Saccharomyces cerevisiae S288C: one gene and its partners. The gene in region 1 interacts genetically with each later gene. Each region holds a gene or a part of one and is shown on either strand. Other genes may lie near its edges.

What was found.
Region 2: of MGA2 (region 1) and PTC2, changing one enhances a phenotype caused by changing the other (phenotypic enhancement), as found in Saccharomyces cerevisiae (2 studies listed by BioGRID, with this or other methods).
Region 3: mutations in MGA2 (region 1) and ACE2 together harm fitness more than expected from each alone (negative genetic interaction), as found in Saccharomyces cerevisiae (3 studies listed by BioGRID).
Region 4: mutations in MGA2 (region 1) and ASN1 together harm fitness more than expected from each alone (negative genetic interaction), as found in Saccharomyces cerevisiae (2 studies listed by BioGRID).

What each region holds. Positions count from the first base shown.
Region 1 is NC_001141.2:414,297-420,023, reverse strand, and holds MGA2 (Mga2p), read right to left. Parts: upstream 3,901-5,727; coding exon 559-3,900; downstream 1-558. Other genes in the region: LYS1 (saccharopine dehydrogenase (NAD+, L-lysine-forming)), read left to right, coding at 1-409; DAL3 (ureidoglycolate hydrolase), read left to right, coding at 4,407-4,994; malate synthase DAL7, read left to right, coding at 5,345-5,727.
Region 2 is NC_001137.3:335,423-339,107, forward strand, and holds PTC2 (type 2C protein phosphatase PTC2), read right to left. Parts: upstream 1,919-3,685; coding exon 524-1,918; downstream 1-523. Other genes in the region: anthranilate synthase TRP2, read left to right, coding at 2,527-3,685. UniProt on the Saccharomyces cerevisiae protein: Dephosphorylating regulator for many key proteins. Dephosphorylates the cell cycle master regulator CDC28/cyclin-dependent kinase 1; its activity appears redundant with phosphatase PTC3.
Region 3 is NC_001144.5:403,925-408,464, forward strand, and holds ACE2 (DNA-binding transcription factor ACE2), read right to left. Parts: upstream 2,899-4,540; coding exon 586-2,898; downstream 1-585. Other genes in the region: low-affinity Zn(2+) transporter ZRT2, read right to left, coding at 1-138; USB1 (phosphoric diester hydrolase), read right to left, coding at 3,359-4,231; bifunctional choline kinase/ethanolamine kinase CKI1, read left to right, coding at 4,521-4,540. UniProt on the Saccharomyces cerevisiae protein: Plays a role in regulating basal-level expression of CUP1. Activates EGT2 transcription in the absence of SWI5.
Region 4 is NC_001148.4:820,969-824,908, reverse strand, and holds ASN1 (asparagine synthase (glutamine-hydrolyzing) 1), read right to left. Parts: upstream 2,290-3,940; coding exon 571-2,289; downstream 1-570. Other genes in the region: YPR145C-A (uncharacterized protein), read left to right, coding at 1-219; ribosome biosynthesis protein NOC4, read left to right, coding at 3,486-3,940.

The DNA of each region.
Region 1 (5,727 bases):
CGAAATTCCACAAGCTGATATTTTTATCAATTGTATATATCTATCGAAGCCAATTGCTCCTTTCACTAACATGGAGAAACTGAATAATCCTAACAGAAGACTAAGGACCGTGGTGGACGTATCAGCAGACACTACCAACCCTCACAACCCCATCCCAATATACACTGTGGCTACTGTGTTTAACAAACCTACCGTTCTGGTACCTACCACTGCCGGGCCTAAATTATCTGTCATCTCTATTGATCACTTGCCTTCTTTGCTGCCAAGAGAAGCTTCAGAATTTTTCTCTCATGATCTCTTACCATCTTTAGAGCTCCTACCTCAAAGAAAAACTGCTCCTGTCTGGGTTAGAGCCAAGAAATTGTTCGATAGACATTGCGCTCGTGTTAAAAGATCTTCAAGATTGTAGTTTACATTTAAAGTATATACATTATCGTTACGCTGACATTTACAAGTTTAATTTTTTTTTGACTTTTTTTAAATGACTTTCTCTTCTTTTAAGTGTACTGTCTTTTCATTATACACACATATATATATATATATACGTAAAAAAGCAGACTAACTGACAATTAAATCGTTCAACATTCTTGTTGTTTGCAGGTTTGATAATTTTGACCTGAATGCAGTTTTCATCCTTTCATTTCCCAGCAAGAACTTTGCTAATGCAATTCTCAAGTACTCTGAGATTAATTCGCTTATATGATTGATGGAACTATCTTGGTTGCCAAATTTGTACATGATGAACCATGTCAAAAGTAGTAGTGTTAAGGGTATCCAGAAAAATATTAACATTTTATCATTTCGGAAGTTTTGTTTGTTTTGGAAGAATCTGTTAAACTGTTTTTTCAAAAATTCTTCCTCTTCCTCATAATCCTCTTCCTCCGAATTTTCAGAGTTTTCAATATTAGATGCTGACTGCTCCACAATACTGTCTTGATTTGTGGTTTTCAATTTATCATCTTTACCCCAAGACAACGGGAACAGATCCTCATATTTTGGTAAGTCATCATTAATTCGATGTAAAACTCTATTCCAGAGAGATGTACTACCATTATCCTCTTCGGGTTCGTTGGCGCTAGATCCAATATCAAGGAGTTCGCTTTGTTCCTCCCTGCATGCAACACCTGGTTTTTCTACTTCGTCAGTGACGAACAGATCTTCATCCCCGTCTTCTTCGAAATCACTTTGGTCGTACTCAGAGTAACTTGAATTCTCAAATAGTTGCAAGGTTGGATGCTGAATCTCCATAGAAGTGGGATTTATCATGCTTTGGCTTTCGAATAAGTTCTCATTCAAAGATTCATTGTCTAGCAGGCTTGAATTGAAACTGGATTGTGAATATTTCCTGCTAATAGAATAATTACTGTCTGTTTCTACACTATCGGTAAACTTCGTACCGTTTTGGAATTCTTCAAACAATGACAATACTTCGCTGATATAAGTGTCATTATGAACAAACTTATGGTTGTCTCTGTTATCTTGTTTTTTGTCTATTTCCTTTGAATGAATGTGGTTTGCTATGAATACTTCTCTTGCAGTTAATCCGTTGTGTGACCTCAGTGAATAATTTACTTTACAATTTAAAAGCATCTTAATAATTTTAGGGTCACCACTTATGCAAGCAAAATGTAATGGAGTTAGCCCAAAGGAATCAATATCGTTAACACGAGCACCCTTTTTAATCAATGTATACACAAGGCTTGAGTAATTTTTCAAACAGGCAAGATGTAATAAAGTTCTCCCTAATGAATCACATATGGAAATATTGGAATTTATGTTCAATGATTTTATAACTTTTTGTATCAAGACTTCATCGGAGTAAAGAACACTTGTGTTCAGATTCATACTGTGTTGGTTTGGAGAGGGACCTGTGCTTTTTGAACAGCTGTTGCCATTTGTACCGCTATCAGGAGAATCATTGCCAACAATCCTCTTCGCGATATTTCTTGCATCTTCTAACTTACCATTCATTTTTAATCCCACAATTTGCAAAGCCAATTCAATCAGTTGCCTATCAGTATCATCAACATAGGTAAATATGGCCTTTTTATTGTCATTGATCTCAATTTCTTGGGGAAGGTCATCGTTATTATTTTCATTATTCGTATCAGTAATAGAGACGAAAACTTGACCCGCGTAGGCAGCGGGAGGGAGATAAGTGACGATCGTGGTCTCACTCCAGCATTGCGTAGAAAGGGCAAGATTAGAGCCGAACTTTACAGAAAGACCATCTTTGAAGTTACAACCCAGTAATGTAACTTCGATACCACCATTGATTGGGCCTTGTGAAGGTATAACGCGATTAATTGATGGCAAATTATTGTTGTTGTTTTTCATTGAGAAATCTTGCATTGAATGTAAAGCTGGATTCATCGTATTTGTTGCACTGATTGAATTTGAAAAGGAATGCTTGAATAGGGGTTTACCAATGTCATTTTCCAAATTATTGCGTGCTCTTTTCCGTTGGTTCAATTGACTCTGTTGTTCAATATTTGTCAAAGAGATAGTACGGACGGGATTGTCATTATCGCGATGATGATAGTTAAATGATTCTGAGCCTTCTTCGCTCATAGATGTTGGTGATGGAATATGCTGATTGGGCAGAGAAAGGTTCAGTGATAAGTTATTGTTCTGAAGCAAATCTGTCTGTTGAGAGATGGAATATGGGAATGGTACGTTTTTGTCTTTCAGTGGAATATTATTCATTTGACTGTCATTATCATATGGGTTGTGTTGATAAGTATATTGAAATGGCATATTTTCGTCTTTGCTCAATTGGTTGTTATCCGTTGAATAATATTCTGTGGTAGATTCTTCTTCCGTTAGCTGCCTTCTGGACGAGGTAGTAGTGTTATTAAACTTGGTGGTATCCATATTTGCTGGTTTTCTATCCGTGATCATAATAGGTGTTGTCGTAAACTTACCCAACAGTCTATTTTGCCAATCTGTTATAGTGAATAATATGACAAAGCCATTATTTGCCTTATGGTGCCTGCAATAACAAACTAGCCTGGTAGTTAATTCAAACTCCTTAACATTATCGAAAGTTTTCATTATGGGGAAAACCTGTTTGTTATTGAACACGACTAACCTTCTATTAATATTATTACACCAGAGTAAATTGTCTGCAATACCTGATTTCCTTCTAGCGGCTCTTCTTTGTTCTCGCTTAACACACTTGGTACAAACATTTGTCGTTCTGTTGCTGACCGCACATAGAACAAACGCATTGATGTACAGAAGATTTTTCTTGAAGTCTTCTGAAAAATCCTCGATATTTTTTTTTAAATAAAACTTTTCTCTTGAAATGGAATCGCTAGGCAAGTAAAGCATGCTTTGGTTTAGTGGTGTTTCAGACGTAATTTTCACTTTCAGTTTCAGTTGATTTTCCACTCTAGATACTTGTGGCAAACCTGAGACCTCTACATCCAAAGGTAGCTGCGCTGCGTTCACTTTAAGGTAATCTAAAGGATTTATGTAAACAGATTGAATCGTCTCCTTTCTTCCAAATACAATCTCGTCATGAGCAGGGTTGCCTATATTTTTTTCATTAAAAACCTTATTTTCATGCTCGTCCTCTTCTTCCTCCTTCAAGGCTCTGTTACTTTCCATTTCCTCCTCCAGTGGAGTGGACACGTTTTGGTTGACATGAGTATTGTTACCGATACCTTCGAAAGACAACAGGTTGGGCGAATCACCCTCATCTGTCTTGATAAAATTTTGGAAATTAGCACCCTCATCAATATTAATATGCGCCATGCTATCATCCTGGTACATGGGAGACCCGTTCAGGAGGAAATCGTCCAAGAGCTGTGATTCCATTACGCTATTCGCGTGCAATTGAGATATATGAGGGTCGCTTCCAGGTGTTTCCGTTAAGAACTCACTGTTCTGCTGCATAACGAAATGTTCTGTTCGCCAAAATGACCTTCAATAAGTGCCTTTAAATGCACAATAAGGGGGGGAAGCAGGATCTAGTCTTAACGACCCCAAGAACGACTGTTGATCAAGCGCCGCTGTCCTTTTAAAAGGCTTTCGGCGGCTGTATTTTCTGGTTTAGAGCTCACCCATTTGAAAATGTTGAGTTTTTTGTCATGATCCACGATATAAAAAGAAATACGACATTTCTAGGGTAACATCAGAATGCCCTTGCTTTTATTGTTAGGGTTATTTTCAAAAGTAGAATTTTGGAAATAAGTCCTAGCCTTTTTGTAACACTAACCCTGAGACAAAGTGCCAGATAAGATAAGATGGATTGGCAAATAAATGGGGAAAGATAAGCGAGGTAAGACTGATAAGAAGCATATGCGGTCTATTCATGTGCATTCGCATATATAAGTCAGTAACTGTCATCCAATCGCTCTTGATGCTTATCTTGTAGGGCAAAAAATCTTTGAAGCAAAGATATGGTGACCGTGGTGGCGGAGACATTGACGAAAGAGTCCTTCGAGGAGTATGGGACGATAATTTCGCCAGATGAAGAGATTTCAAGGATGCAAAACCTTGAAAAAGGTGCAAACCAGGGAACAGCGATCAAATTGCTTCAAGTAAGCCAGGTAGAGAATAAATCTACCAGTAAAGTTCCCAATTGGAACCTATTCCGTTGCTTTCCACAGCCGCACCTGAATAGAGTATTCACTCAAGGCTCCAATCAGGCGATTTCTCATTCTATCAAAGTCCTCGAAAAGCATCCGTGTAGTACGCAGACGTTTGTGCCTATGGGGAGAACGTCAGCGGAAGTAGCATACTTGGTAGTAGTCGCTAAAGAAATTGGAAATAAGCCAGACTTGTCTACGTTGAGGGCTTTTACATGTTTGGGTAATCAGGCCGTTACCTATGGCTTAGGTACCTGGCATGCGCCCATGATAGTACTTGGCAAGGAAGAACATTTGGATTTTTCAGTCTTAATCTACGAAAGTCTGGACCCTGACAGGCCCGAGAAGGACTGTGTGGAAGAACACTACAGCGATGGCGACGTTTGTATTATCATCTAATTCTGCGACTGTGGGCGAAGTAAATATGTAAATGTTCATGTATTAGTAATTTCATAGGTTTACGATTATCGACATAAAATCTCCGCTGAAAGTTGCGGTGCGATAGAATACCGCGGATTTTGGAAAATTGCGTTTGCTTTTCTTATCACATAAATTGAATTTCATAAGTTTTGGCTTATCTTGGATAAGGTACATCGTGAAAGTATCACAAAGATTGGATAGTTTCGTCAATTGGTGAAGCAATAAGTATAAAATGGGGACATTTACGCATGTAGTCTTAATTCTTCACTTTCTGTGCAGTTGATATCACTTAGAGTATGTGTCATAGGCACGGTAAAGAGCACTGAACAATGGTGAAGATAAGCTTGGACAACACTGCTCTATACGCAGACATCGACACGACTCCTCAATTTGAACCTTCCAAAACTACTGTAGCTGATATTTTAACAAAAGATGCCTTAGAGTTCATTGTTTTGCTGCATAGAACTTTCAATTCAACACGGAAACAGCTTTTAGCCAACAGAAGCAATTTACAATCAAAGTTAGACTCTGGTGAATACCGATTTGATTTCTTGCCGGAAACCGAACAAATCAGGAACGATCCTACATGGCAAGGTGCTATCCCAGCCCCTGGTTTGATCAACAGATCCAGCGAGATTACTGGGCCACCATTGAGAAATATGTTAGTCAACGCTTTGAATGCTGAAGTAACGACATATATGACTGATTTCGA
Region 2 (3,685 bases), on another chromosome or scaffold:
ACTGTGTGCACTTTCTGATTCCGTCTTGTCGAGGCTGTCGGAGAAAAGAGTAGCACACACGACGATAACAATAGATACGGTAGATTGGATGGGGCACAGATGTGCAAGGCAATGCGCGAATCCTGTCTACGATGTCTGTACCGTCCATCCTTTCTCCTTTGCATCGGAAACATCCGCGCTGTCTACCTTAGGAGGACCTCATGGGACGGGCGCTGGGGACTCGTGCCCATCCGGGACTGGGGGTGAGATTTCACAACGGGGCCGCTGCTGGTCTCACCCTCTGGCCGGGCCGGTCCGTTTTTGTGGCGTCGCTGCAGGTAAACGCGCAGTTTCTGCGCGTTTACCCCTGAGGTGAATACCATCTTCAAGCGTCAAACTGCATCCGGATATCCTGCTGTTGGTAGCGATGGTGGTGGTAGTGGTGTATGCTCTTGGTTCTGGTGGTGTCTTGCGTCTTCTCTTCTCTTTCTGTTCGTTCGGTTCGTATATAGGTATGTATATATAATGAAGGATGGAAGATCCTTCATTGCAAGTGGGAACGGCCGGCCTTGTGGTCAGTGTTACTGTCATTCTCGGGATGGGAGGAAGCCGGGTCATGGCCCATGGTTTGGAGCAGTTGGGCCAAGGCAGACTGGGGAAGAGTGTAGGTGACTTTGTTCCCGTTGCTGTCTGTCTTCACTCCTCCTGTAGCACCAAGTAGCGCCTCCAAGGATGCTAGATCAATGGGGCCGGAGGTCTTGCTCTTGGATTGGCTGGAAGGGTCAAGATTTTCTGCATCTGTGTCAGCGTCCGTGTCGTCTATGTCCATTGGATCGTCGTTATCGGCGGCAGTCACCGAGGCCACAGCGGCTTCGTGGTCGCGAGTGAATTTGTCCTGAGGTTTCTTCGTAGTGATAGCGAACACCTGTTCGTCGTTACATTTGGAAAAATCGTAGTAACTAAACACCCTTCTTCTCTTGTCTGCAAAAGAACGCACTGATGTGCGGTGGGCCTTGGACTTCATACGGTCGCTCCATTGAGCGACGTCTTCACCTTCTTTCAGCAGCGCGACAACCACTATACTCATGTTGTCGCATCCAATACCCGTCCCCTCTGTGGTGGGAGCACAACAGACATCGATGATCCGCGAAGAAATTTCATTCAATGTCTTGCCTTCGCGAAGGCCGAGATGAACCAAGTCCACACAATCTTGGGAAGTCAAACAATCCCAGATACCATCACAGGCTAAGATTACAAACTCGTCCCTATCGTAATCTAGAGAATGCTCGAGAATGTCCGGAACACATGTCACTATTTGCTCCTCGGGGCCCAATTTGGGGTTGGATTTGAACTCAAAATCACCAATGGCACGAGAGAGCGCCAAGTTACCGTTGACCCTATCCATTTCTACGAAGCCATCAGCTGCCACAATACGTGATTTTTCGCTTGCTAGAGTGGGCTTGTGATCGTATGATAATGCCTTTGCGTTCCCGTCGGTGGCGAGTACGGTTCTACTGTCACCAGCGTTACCACATACTAACAAGTTCTGGGACTTTGATACTAATATGGATGTAGCCGTACATCCGCTATGGTCTTCTTTCATCACAGGATCTTGTAACAGTTTCACGTCTGTGTTTATGAAAGTATCAATCAAAGCCCTTGGTAAATTTCCTTCATGGAACGATTTCTGCTCTTGCAGGATCTCCACTATTTTATTACCACAGTATTCTGCTACTTTAGCGCCACCATGACCATCGAATATACCGTAAAATGCAATATGGTCCTTATCGGACTTTGTCAAAACATTAGGCTCTAGAATGTGTGAATCCTCCATTGACATCCGCCACCCTTGCATTGCACACAGTCCAAACGCGGTCAAGGAGTCAGCACCGGAGTGGCTCTCTTTATCAATTACCGGGTTTGATAGAATTTGTCCCATTTTTCTTTTTCTGGTTCTCTATATTTTATACAACAATGGAATAGTCAAAATCCTAGGGATGTTATTAATCGGAAAACTACTATCTCGAACGAATAGTTATAATTAATCAATGAAAAAAAAAAAGAGAAAGTAAAAAATGTTACAACAACTAATATACACTAATTGTCCTTGATAACAGAACTTGTTGTAGTTTTATTCCGTGGGGAGGAGGGTGAATTTTTTTTATTTAGTTTTAAAGAACAAAACAGAAGTCTATATACTTAGCACTATAATATCCAGTTTCAATTTGCTCTGTCAGAATCCGAATTGGCTGGTTTTCTTTGTTTTACCATCCCCTTCCATTTATCAGCATGATATTTTTTTTTTTAGAATAATCCTTTCAATCGTTGAAGTAGTTTGTGGGAAAAAAAAAGTTGTTAAAGGCATTAACGTACACAGTGATTTGCTGACTCATTACGATTTTTCACTCATCGAAGTATTGTTAGATTTTGATATATTAACATGACTAAAGGGCTATGGTCCATCGTAGCAGAAGGCAATCATCACTTTAAAACCGAGGCCACAATCGATAATTAGCACTGATATTCTGATTGGAAAAAAGGCAAAAAATGACCGCTTCCATCAAAATTCAACCGGATATTGACTCTCTAAAGCAATTACAGCAGCAAAATGACGATAGTTCCATAAATATGTATCCCGTGTATGCGTATTTGCCATCATTGGATCTGACTCCTCACGTGGCATATCTAAAATTGGCACAATTGAACAACCCTGATAGAAAGGAATCATTTCTGTTGGAAAGTGCTAAGACAAATAATGAATTAGATCGTTATTCATTCATAGGTATCTCGCCACGCAAGACCATCAAAACCGGTCCTACTGAAGGCATTGAAACAGATCCTTTGGAAATTTTGGAAAAGGAGATGTCTACCTTTAAAGTAGCCGAAAATGTTCCTGGTTTACCGAAATTAAGTGGTGGTGCTATTGGTTATATTTCTTATGACTGTGTTCGTTATTTCGAGCCAAAAACAAGAAGGCCTTTGAAAGATGTCCTAAGACTTCCAGAGGCATATTTAATGCTTTGTGATACCATTATTGCCTTTGATAATGTTTTTCAGAGATTTCAAATCATTCATAACATTAATACCAATGAAACTTCGTTGGAGGAAGGTTACCAAGCTGCAGCACAAATAATCACTGATATCGTATCAAAGCTAACCGACGATTCCTCGCCAATACCATATCCAGAACAACCTCCTATTAAATTGAATCAAACTTTTGAATCGAATGTGGGCAAGGAAGGTTACGAAAATCACGTCTCCACTTTGAAGAAGCATATTAAGAAAGGTGATATTATTCAAGGTGTGCCATCGCAAAGAGTGGCAAGGCCAACTTCGTTACATCCTTTCAATATTTACAGACATTTACGTACAGTGAACCCATCTCCTTACCTGTTTTATATTGATTGTTTGGATTTCCAAATCATTGGTGCATCTCCAGAATTGTTGTGCAAATCGGATTCCAAAAATAGAGTCATTACCCATCCAATTGCTGGTACTGTCAAACGTGGGGCTACTACTGAAGAGGATGATGCTTTAGCGGACCAATTACGTGGCTCGTTAAAAGACCGTGCAGAACATGTTATGCTGGTAGATTTAGCAAGAAACGATATTAACAGAATTTGTGACCCATTAACAACAAGTGTCGATAAACTGTTAACTATTCAAAAATTTTCTCATGTCCAACATCTGGTTTCTCAAGTCAGCG
Region 3 (4,540 bases), on another chromosome or scaffold:
AATTGGGAAATAAACTCCCAATCCTGACGATATCAGTATAATGAATACTGCCAGAATTCTAAGACCTGCGTGCCCATTGTAGCCGTTAGAAGCTTGGCAAGTATCTACGGAGTCATCCCTCGCTATAAGATCAACCATACTTTCGAATATGCAGTGTCACTTGGAAACGCCTGCAATGTTTTCTTTGGTTGATGCACCGTTGTATTTTCGGAGATCAACTTTAGCTTTCTTCCGGTCTAACCAACAGGGTGTATGATTCAATAAACAGTATCATCATATATAGTGGGTTTTAGATCGTGTCTCCCAAAAGGTTGCGTCATTTAAAATCGTCACACTGTGTTTTACCAAAGGATGTGTGAAGCTGGTTTGTAGTAGTTAAAGGGCAATGTACCCTAAAGGTTGTGAAAAATTTTCATTTTCGAGAAGGAGTCGCATATAACCTTTAGGGTTATGTCCCTATAAACGATGACTATTGCCTTTTTTGGCCCTTAAGACTACAGTGTACGTAAATCGTAAAGAAATAAATGTATTATATTATTGTTACTATTATTTATTATGTTAATATCATGCATAGATAAATGTTCGTCAGAGAGCATCAGTTTCGTTTGAAAGGGTGCGGTTCGAGTTTTGCTCGTGCGCTGCTGTGGATGGGGGTGGATCCAGTAATCCATGTTTGCGCATATCATCTCGCAGCTGTTCCTCCATTTTCATTAGGACGCTCCCATCTTTATCCCGGGCGATAGTTTCTTTTACGGGACTTGTGTCATGCGGGCTGTCAAGCAGGCTTTTTTTGGGAGATGTAAGTTTCTTGTTGATCGAATGTTCTAATTTCTTACCGCCGGTGCAAATCATCCGACTTCTATGCACCATTAGAGCATCCTCCCTATTAAATCTCTTTCCGCATGGGCAGATGTATTTCTTGGCATTATGGGAGATTTTGTGTCTTATTAAATCATGATTGCGAACAAACGCCTTGGTGCAACCGGGAAAGTCGCATGAATACGGTCTATCTTGCAAATGTGTCTGAATATGCGACCTTATGTTGTATCTACGCTTGAATACTTTGTTACAGTTAGGGTATAAGCACTCGAATAGTTTGTCGGGTAGTTCCTTGACGTACTGGTCAATGGTACCCGGAGGCAGAGTAGTTGGTTTCTTGGTTATTTTCATTGGCGTAGTCCTAGGTATTATTTCATCTGGTAAAGGAGACGTACTATGCAAAGTGGGGCTTTTGTGAATATCATGTGTGACAGGTGGTACTTGCGGATAGCTTTCCACTTCACAGTGACTGTTATTTCGTATGGGTGTCTTAATTTCTAACTGATGATCTGTTAAATCCGGTGCATTTAGAAGCGGAGCTAGGTTACTTCCGTTCTTTGGTGGAGCTTTGACGGGAGTATGTTGAAATACATGTTTTTGTGGCAAAGAATTCTTAATTGGAGTGTTATTGCTGGAACCAGGAATAGGAGGTAGTACACTTGATGACGCTAAAGCGTTTGCATTTCTTAATGTTGGGTTCTGGGTATTTCGCATGTGGATGGGTTCAGTGTCATCCTGCAGTTGTGATATTGTCGAGACCGTGGAAACTACGGATTCCCTTTTCTTGTGGATAGGTGACAACTGTGTTCTAGGCGTGAACGTGCCAGCAGCATATCGATCATCCCTGCTTTTATCTGTGCCGACGAGGAAGGGCGATCTCAAACTATTTCCATTTATCCTTGGAGAGATACTTAGCCCACCCGGGGAAGTCTTTTCGAACAGACGGAATATGTTATCACCAGTACTATTTTTTTTATCATTATTGTTTTTATCACTGGTGTTATTATGGTCATTATAAGTCAAGCCGTCCAAGTTTAAATTATAATTTTGTGGAGAAAATGAAAGCAGTTCAGAATCTCTCAAATAACCACTGTTAGAGGAAAAAAGGTTCAATCCATTACTTTCTGGGCTTTTATTTGGATATCGTTGCCTATGGTATTTCCTGGATGGTGAACCATTTATTGAAGTATTTGACATCCGAGGCGATATTAACGTCGGAGGAGGAAATTGATATCCGCCATTTGCAGAGTTCGTTGTGACGATTATAGCATTATCTTTCATTCTACCGTTTTGCATGGCAGGTGTCTTTAGTATTACTGGAGATCCAGGTTTGGAATTAGAATTTGTAGCCCCAGAAACCAACTTCTGCGCCACCTCTTCTTGCTCTTCTAATACTTTACGCAACTTTTCTTGCTGTATTTGATTGTCTCTCAACTGCTTCTCCAATTTTTCGTTCACTTCCTTTTGTTTTTCAAGAGCAATTCTTAACTCCTCCTGCTGTTTCAACAAAACTTGGCTCAAATAGCTATTTTCACCATCATTTTCCCTTATATGGTCAAAGTCATCATTGTTATTTTTTACCGTATTATGATTACCCAATTCATTTATGAGTTCCATGGGTTGCGGATCTTTAGACATATTTAGAATGGATTGCTGTAAACTGGAAATACTCAATGTCTTATTATGGCCGAGAAATCCAAATATCGCTGTGCCACTTAGACCTCTCTTGTGTGAGGACATTGATTTTTTGCTATAGTGGGAGACTTTGTTGTTTTCATCACCAAGGTTCCAAGTTCTATCAATATTCTTTTTATCAGAAGAACCATCGCCCGTCTTAGGAGAAGGCACTAAAGGAATATCCAGATCTCTTAACTCTTGAGTCAACAGGTCATCGATGTTATAGTAGTCCATACCTAACAAGTTATCGAGGCCATCATCGTTTTCATTATTCAAAATATAATTGTCGGGTGGGGGTATGGTAGGATTGACATTATCATGATGTTGAACATACTCCTCATCTTGAGTGTCTTTCGCGAAGCCTGAGGGATTTATATACCACGGATCTACAACGTTATCCATGATTGTATTAACACCGTTTTTGGTCCTATAGATTTCTTTAGTTATTTCTTGAATTTATGCCTTGTATTTTTTTCTTCTAGCACTTTAACTGTTGCTTGAGTCTCCCTGCAACGTAGCTTTTGTTTGCTAGGTACAATGCCGAGAGAGGTTGTTATAAGTTTATGTGTACTATAAAACCCTTAATGAAAGAAAAGGGACAGAAATATTGCGAGTAAACAAACAGTACTCCCTCCTTAATATTTGCCCGTTAATGGCTAAATGCTTTCTGGAGTTGATTTACTAGCTACAAGCATCCTTATCCTTTACCTGTAAACCAAAAGTGTCCTGAAATTTTCCCAAAGTGCCAATGTTTACATTTTGCCGTTTTGAGATATATATCGTATATTATGACAACCTTCACCTATCTGACGAGCCGCTCTCAGTGCCCCGGTATTTTTGGGCGGCTATTCCTATAACACTATTAGTTAAAAGGGATTCTAATGGAGTGACGGTTTTCATCACAATAGATAGAGTTAACTAAGAACTCTAGTTTGTATGCAAAGTCATTATTGAGTAGTAAAAGCGCCCCCATCGTCTCGTTTAATTGTTGATAACGTTTTAATGTGGCTTTTGAAGGGTTGCTAGCGATGGCAATTGAAACATGTAAATTTTGCCTACTTACAATTAAATCCTGATAGTTTGAAATGCCTGATTTCTGAAGTGCCTCAGCTATTATCGTTTTGAAAGGAGAAATTTGTGCCTTATTGGGACATTCTGAGACAGGGAGACCGAGGTACAAGGTGTTGGCTCGTTCTGATATATATAACTTCGGATATGAGCAGATTTGAAGTTTAAAAGGGGTTATTTCATTATTTCGTAAACCATTACGCATTTCTTGAATGAAAACATGTCTTTGTTCTTCAGTTTCAAACAACAACGATCGAGTTAAGGAAACGTGTAAAGGTTTGGGGGCTCCCAAGTGTGAGATGAACAACGGGTCAAAATCCACCAGTTGATACGGATTAGTGTATTCCTGTTTCATAAATGTTTCTTTATATTTACATATGATTTTCTGAAGTTGTCGGTGAATCGCTGGAGTCGGACGCCACTCAAAATATGTGAACGAACGCCAAAATCGACTCATATTCATATCCTGGTGCTCGTACTTTTGTAAATTCGGAGGGATGTGGTACTTCAATATAATTGAATCCGGTATTGCAGGTAAATCAGTGGAATCGGCTTTCTGTATGCAAGTTTTCTCCGTGTATTCGATTTGGACCTCACTTTTGTTACTACTTTCGCTCTCGGTATCACTACCGTCACTGCTAGAATAGTCTGCAGATATGAATTCCATAGGCCAGTCTTCTTCTAAGCGATTGGTAACCTCCTTCACTTTAGAACACCACCAACAGATCGTTCTCTTGTTCTTTGTTCTTTATGGTATAATATTCACATGGTGCTCTACCGTTTTTCTTGTCGGCCCAGCCGGTTAAATCTCGAAGAGACAGAATAGAAGCTCTGTGGCTGTAAGTAAGGATAAGCCAAATGGAAAAGTTATAGAATTAGGACAACAATATACAGTTTTTTTTTGTACTCTTATAGAATACACACACATAGATACGCACGTAAAATTAGAGCAAAAGATGGTACAAGAATCACGTCC
Region 4 (3,940 bases), on another chromosome or scaffold:
AAAATAAAACTAATATTTAAGAAAAGTGATAGTCAATATCCGCAAAACTATCGAGCGGAAATTAAATCAAGAAATAAGAATACAGTAATAACAAGGCACGATCTACTAATTGCACACGAAATGAAACAAAGGGCGTCGCTAGAGAGGAGCAATTCGATTAGGAATCTTCAGTCACAAGGTAAAAGGAGATCAGATTCAAAAGAATCTCGAAAATTGTAAGAAACGACATAAAAGAAGGGTGAAAAGGAGGGCATGCACTGTCTCCATCATTTTTAAGATTATTGGGTCTCAAGGAAGGAGGATGTATAATAGGAAATATCAAAGTCAAGAATAATGTTTCAAAATGATTTGCATCAAGATCGTTCGATACGCATATATACAGTCATCCACACACTTAATTTTTTAGCACTGGCGATAAAAAATGATTTATGAATAAAACTTCATCAAACTATTATGAAAAATATGTATTTCTATATTCTATTTATTATTATTATTATTGTTAGTGTTTGTTTTTCTATAAAAATATCTATAAGATTAATCCATAATTCTTTTTCTATTTTTTAATGTTATTTATTCGATATGTTTTTCATGAATTTGGGCATATCTACCAGAAGGATCTTCAGCACAACCCCAGTCGGCCTTTGGAATCCATCTCATAACGGTGTCAGCCACGGTCTTTTGAGGGAACAAAGCATCGAATTTTAGTCTGTACCAGAAAGCCTCTTTTGTGGTTGGAATGTCACTACCCCATTCGGCCTTTGGACTGGCAAACATTTCATCTGAAATGACTGCTTCGGCGGTATCTTTTAATCCGTCGATCCAGGAGTAACCAACACCGTCGGAAAATTGTTCTTTTTGTCTCCATAAAATTTCTTCTGGTAAATATGGCTTAGCATCTGGTTCTCCTGTGGTGTCGAATGCCTTCCTTAGAATGTACTTTTCAATACGTCCTTCCTTTGGTTTAATCATCTTTTCATTTGGATCGATGTTCATACACAATTGCAAAAATTCTCTGTCTAAGAATGGAACACGAGCTTCTAGACCCCAAGCCATCGTAGACTTGTTAGCTCTCAAACAATCTGCCAAATGCAAGTTCTTGACACGTTGCACGGATTCAGTGTGAAATTCTGCCGCAGAAGGAGCTTGTGCGAAATATAGATAACCACCGAAGATTTCATCGGAACCTTCACCGGAAAGAACCATCTTGACCCCTTGGGCCTTAATCTTTCTGGATAGTAAGAACATTGGAGTGGAAGCTCTGATAGTGGTAACGTCGTAAGTTTCCAAATGGTAGATCACGTCGTCCAAAGCATCCAAACCTTCTTGTAATGTAAAGGTGTGTTCATGATGAATAGAGCCGATGAATTTGGCAACCTTTCTTGCGGCTTGCAAATCTGGAGCATTTGGTAAACCGATGGCAAAGGAATGGAGACTTGTCCAACCAGCAGTGTGTAGCTTACCGTCATCGTCGATACCTGCTAGATGTCTTGCCTTACTATCGTAAGTTGATGGTTCGACATCGTTAGTGGCCTTTGCAGTTTCACGGGCAGCAATGGAAGCGATTAAAGAGGAGTCCAAACCACCCGACAATAGAACACCGTATGGGACTTCGGCCATTAATCTCTTTCTAACGGCTTTTTCTAAGGAGTGTCTAATTGCCATGTAATCTATTGGGGTGGAAGGAATGCGTTTTTCGTCCAGCCAATCTGGTGTGAAGTAACGGGTGATCTTGTCAGTCTTAGAATCGTATACGTGGCCCGGTGGGAATGCAGTGATAGTGTCACAGTCGTCAGTCAAACATTTTAGTTCGGATGCAAAATAAACGGTCTTTGGAGAAGCGGAAGAGCGTCCCATATATAATGTCGTAATACCGATTGGGTCTCTGGCTGCCACAATACGATCTTGTTTAGCGTCGTAAAGAGTCCAAGCAAACATACCATCCAAGTACTTAGGAGCGTCGATATCGTGCTTTAAGTACATTGGGATGATAGGCTCACAGTCACTCAGTGTTCCAAACTCGTAGTCTGCGCATTCTTCTCTTAATTGAATGTGGTTGTAGATTTCACCGTTAACACATAGCATGTACTCTCCGTCTGAAGAAGTAATTGGTTGAGCACCGGATTCCACACCGACAATGGCTAGTCTTTCATGAACAAATATAGTGGAGTTCTTGATAGCATTACCGGACCAATCTGGACCACGGTGTCTGATTCTTTTTGATAGTTGTAGAGCCTTTGGCTTATATCTATGCACGTCTTCGTGCCTGAAAGCGGCGAAAATACCACACATCTTAAGTTACGTCCGATTTATATCCTTAGCGTAAAGCAAGTTATACTTTTTCTTATTTTATTATGTAAAGGTAAGAAGAGTATGCGATCAGGGTCCAAACAGAATCTGTCTCCTAGTGGCGTTCACTATAGGGTTATATATGCGTATCTATAAATGCGCATAAATTCAAGAACGAACTATTTGTCATCTCGAGTGGGCAGCAAATTTTCAGTTTACAGAATGAGTCAAATGTTACATGAGTTAAGGCTCTTTTCCTTGTGCTCTCTCTCTCTGTCTGAGCCTGCCAAATGATAACAGTCATAGGCCCTGTACCTAATTTGCCGTCCACGGCAGCAGTACTGCTGCCGTGTGATTGGTGGATAGATAGTGCCAGCGATAAGAAACGGTAGTTGATGCCCGAAGGTGCTTTCCAGCGCAGAAAGACAGACCCCAGGCGTATTTGCGCTCACGTTGCACGAACACGGGCGGCATTCGTGATGACAATAGATTTAATTTAGATATGCACTGGTTTCCACAGAGACCAATCGACAGTCTTCCATGCAAGGTCACTTATTGTTAACGGCAAGTTTCCCTGGATGTCCGCTTTAAAACTGTTTCGGCACGGTTTAAAGGACACAAGTTTTGACTAGTCTACAATTTAAGAACATATAAAAAGCTACTTGTGTACAGATGAGATGACTACTCCCAAGTCAAAAACAACAAAAGAATGAAAGAAAAAAGAATCAGAATTTTATAAAAGCGTCCTTGTCATTCTTAAGAATGTAACAAGATCAATGGGTTGCGCAGGAACCGCTATCTCCATTAAAACCTCAGATCGCTCCGAGAAGAATTGTTCGATTTGAAACGCAAATAATATCATCGTATTCTTTTAAAAACTTGGAAGGTCATTGGTTTCTTTAAATGAAACCTCCAAAGAAAATCTAACGCGTCTTGGTAAAATATATGTACCGAGTGTTTCGCTTTTTATACCTGTTAAATGAAAATCGAAAAAAAAGAAAAAGAAAAAAGTTTTTCAGCACTTCTCTACGGGTAATCCTCGTATTTGAAGGTTTAGGGCTATTCTTGAAATTTTTCACTAAAATTTTCCAACTGAGAAAAAAAAAAGTGTATTACGGTTTTGATGAGATGAGATGAGATGTAATTATCATCCTCTATTGCCATGAAGAGAGATCTATTAAAAAGAAACGTCAAAGAATATGGTATTGCTTATATCAGAAATTAAAGATATTGCCAAGAGGCTGACTGCTGCGGGTGACAGAAAGCAGTACAACTCCATTATCAAGTTAATCAATGAACTAGTGATTCCAGAAAATGTTACTCAATTGGAAGAAGATGAGACAGAAAAAAATTTGAGATTTCTGGTTATGTCGCTATTCCAGATATTTAGAAAGCTGTTTTCCCGCGGCGACTTGACCCTTCCTTCGTCCAAAAAGAGCACATTAGAGAAGGAACAGTTTGTTAATTGGTGTAGAAAGGTGTATGAAGCGTTCAAGACGAAGCTGTTAGCTATCATTTCGGACATACCTTTCGAAACATCACTTGGGTTAGATTCGCTTGATGTCTATCTTCAACTTGCAGAGCTGGAATCAACTCATTTTGCATCTGAAAAGGGCGCACCATTTTTCCCCAATAAAACATTCAGAAAGTTAAT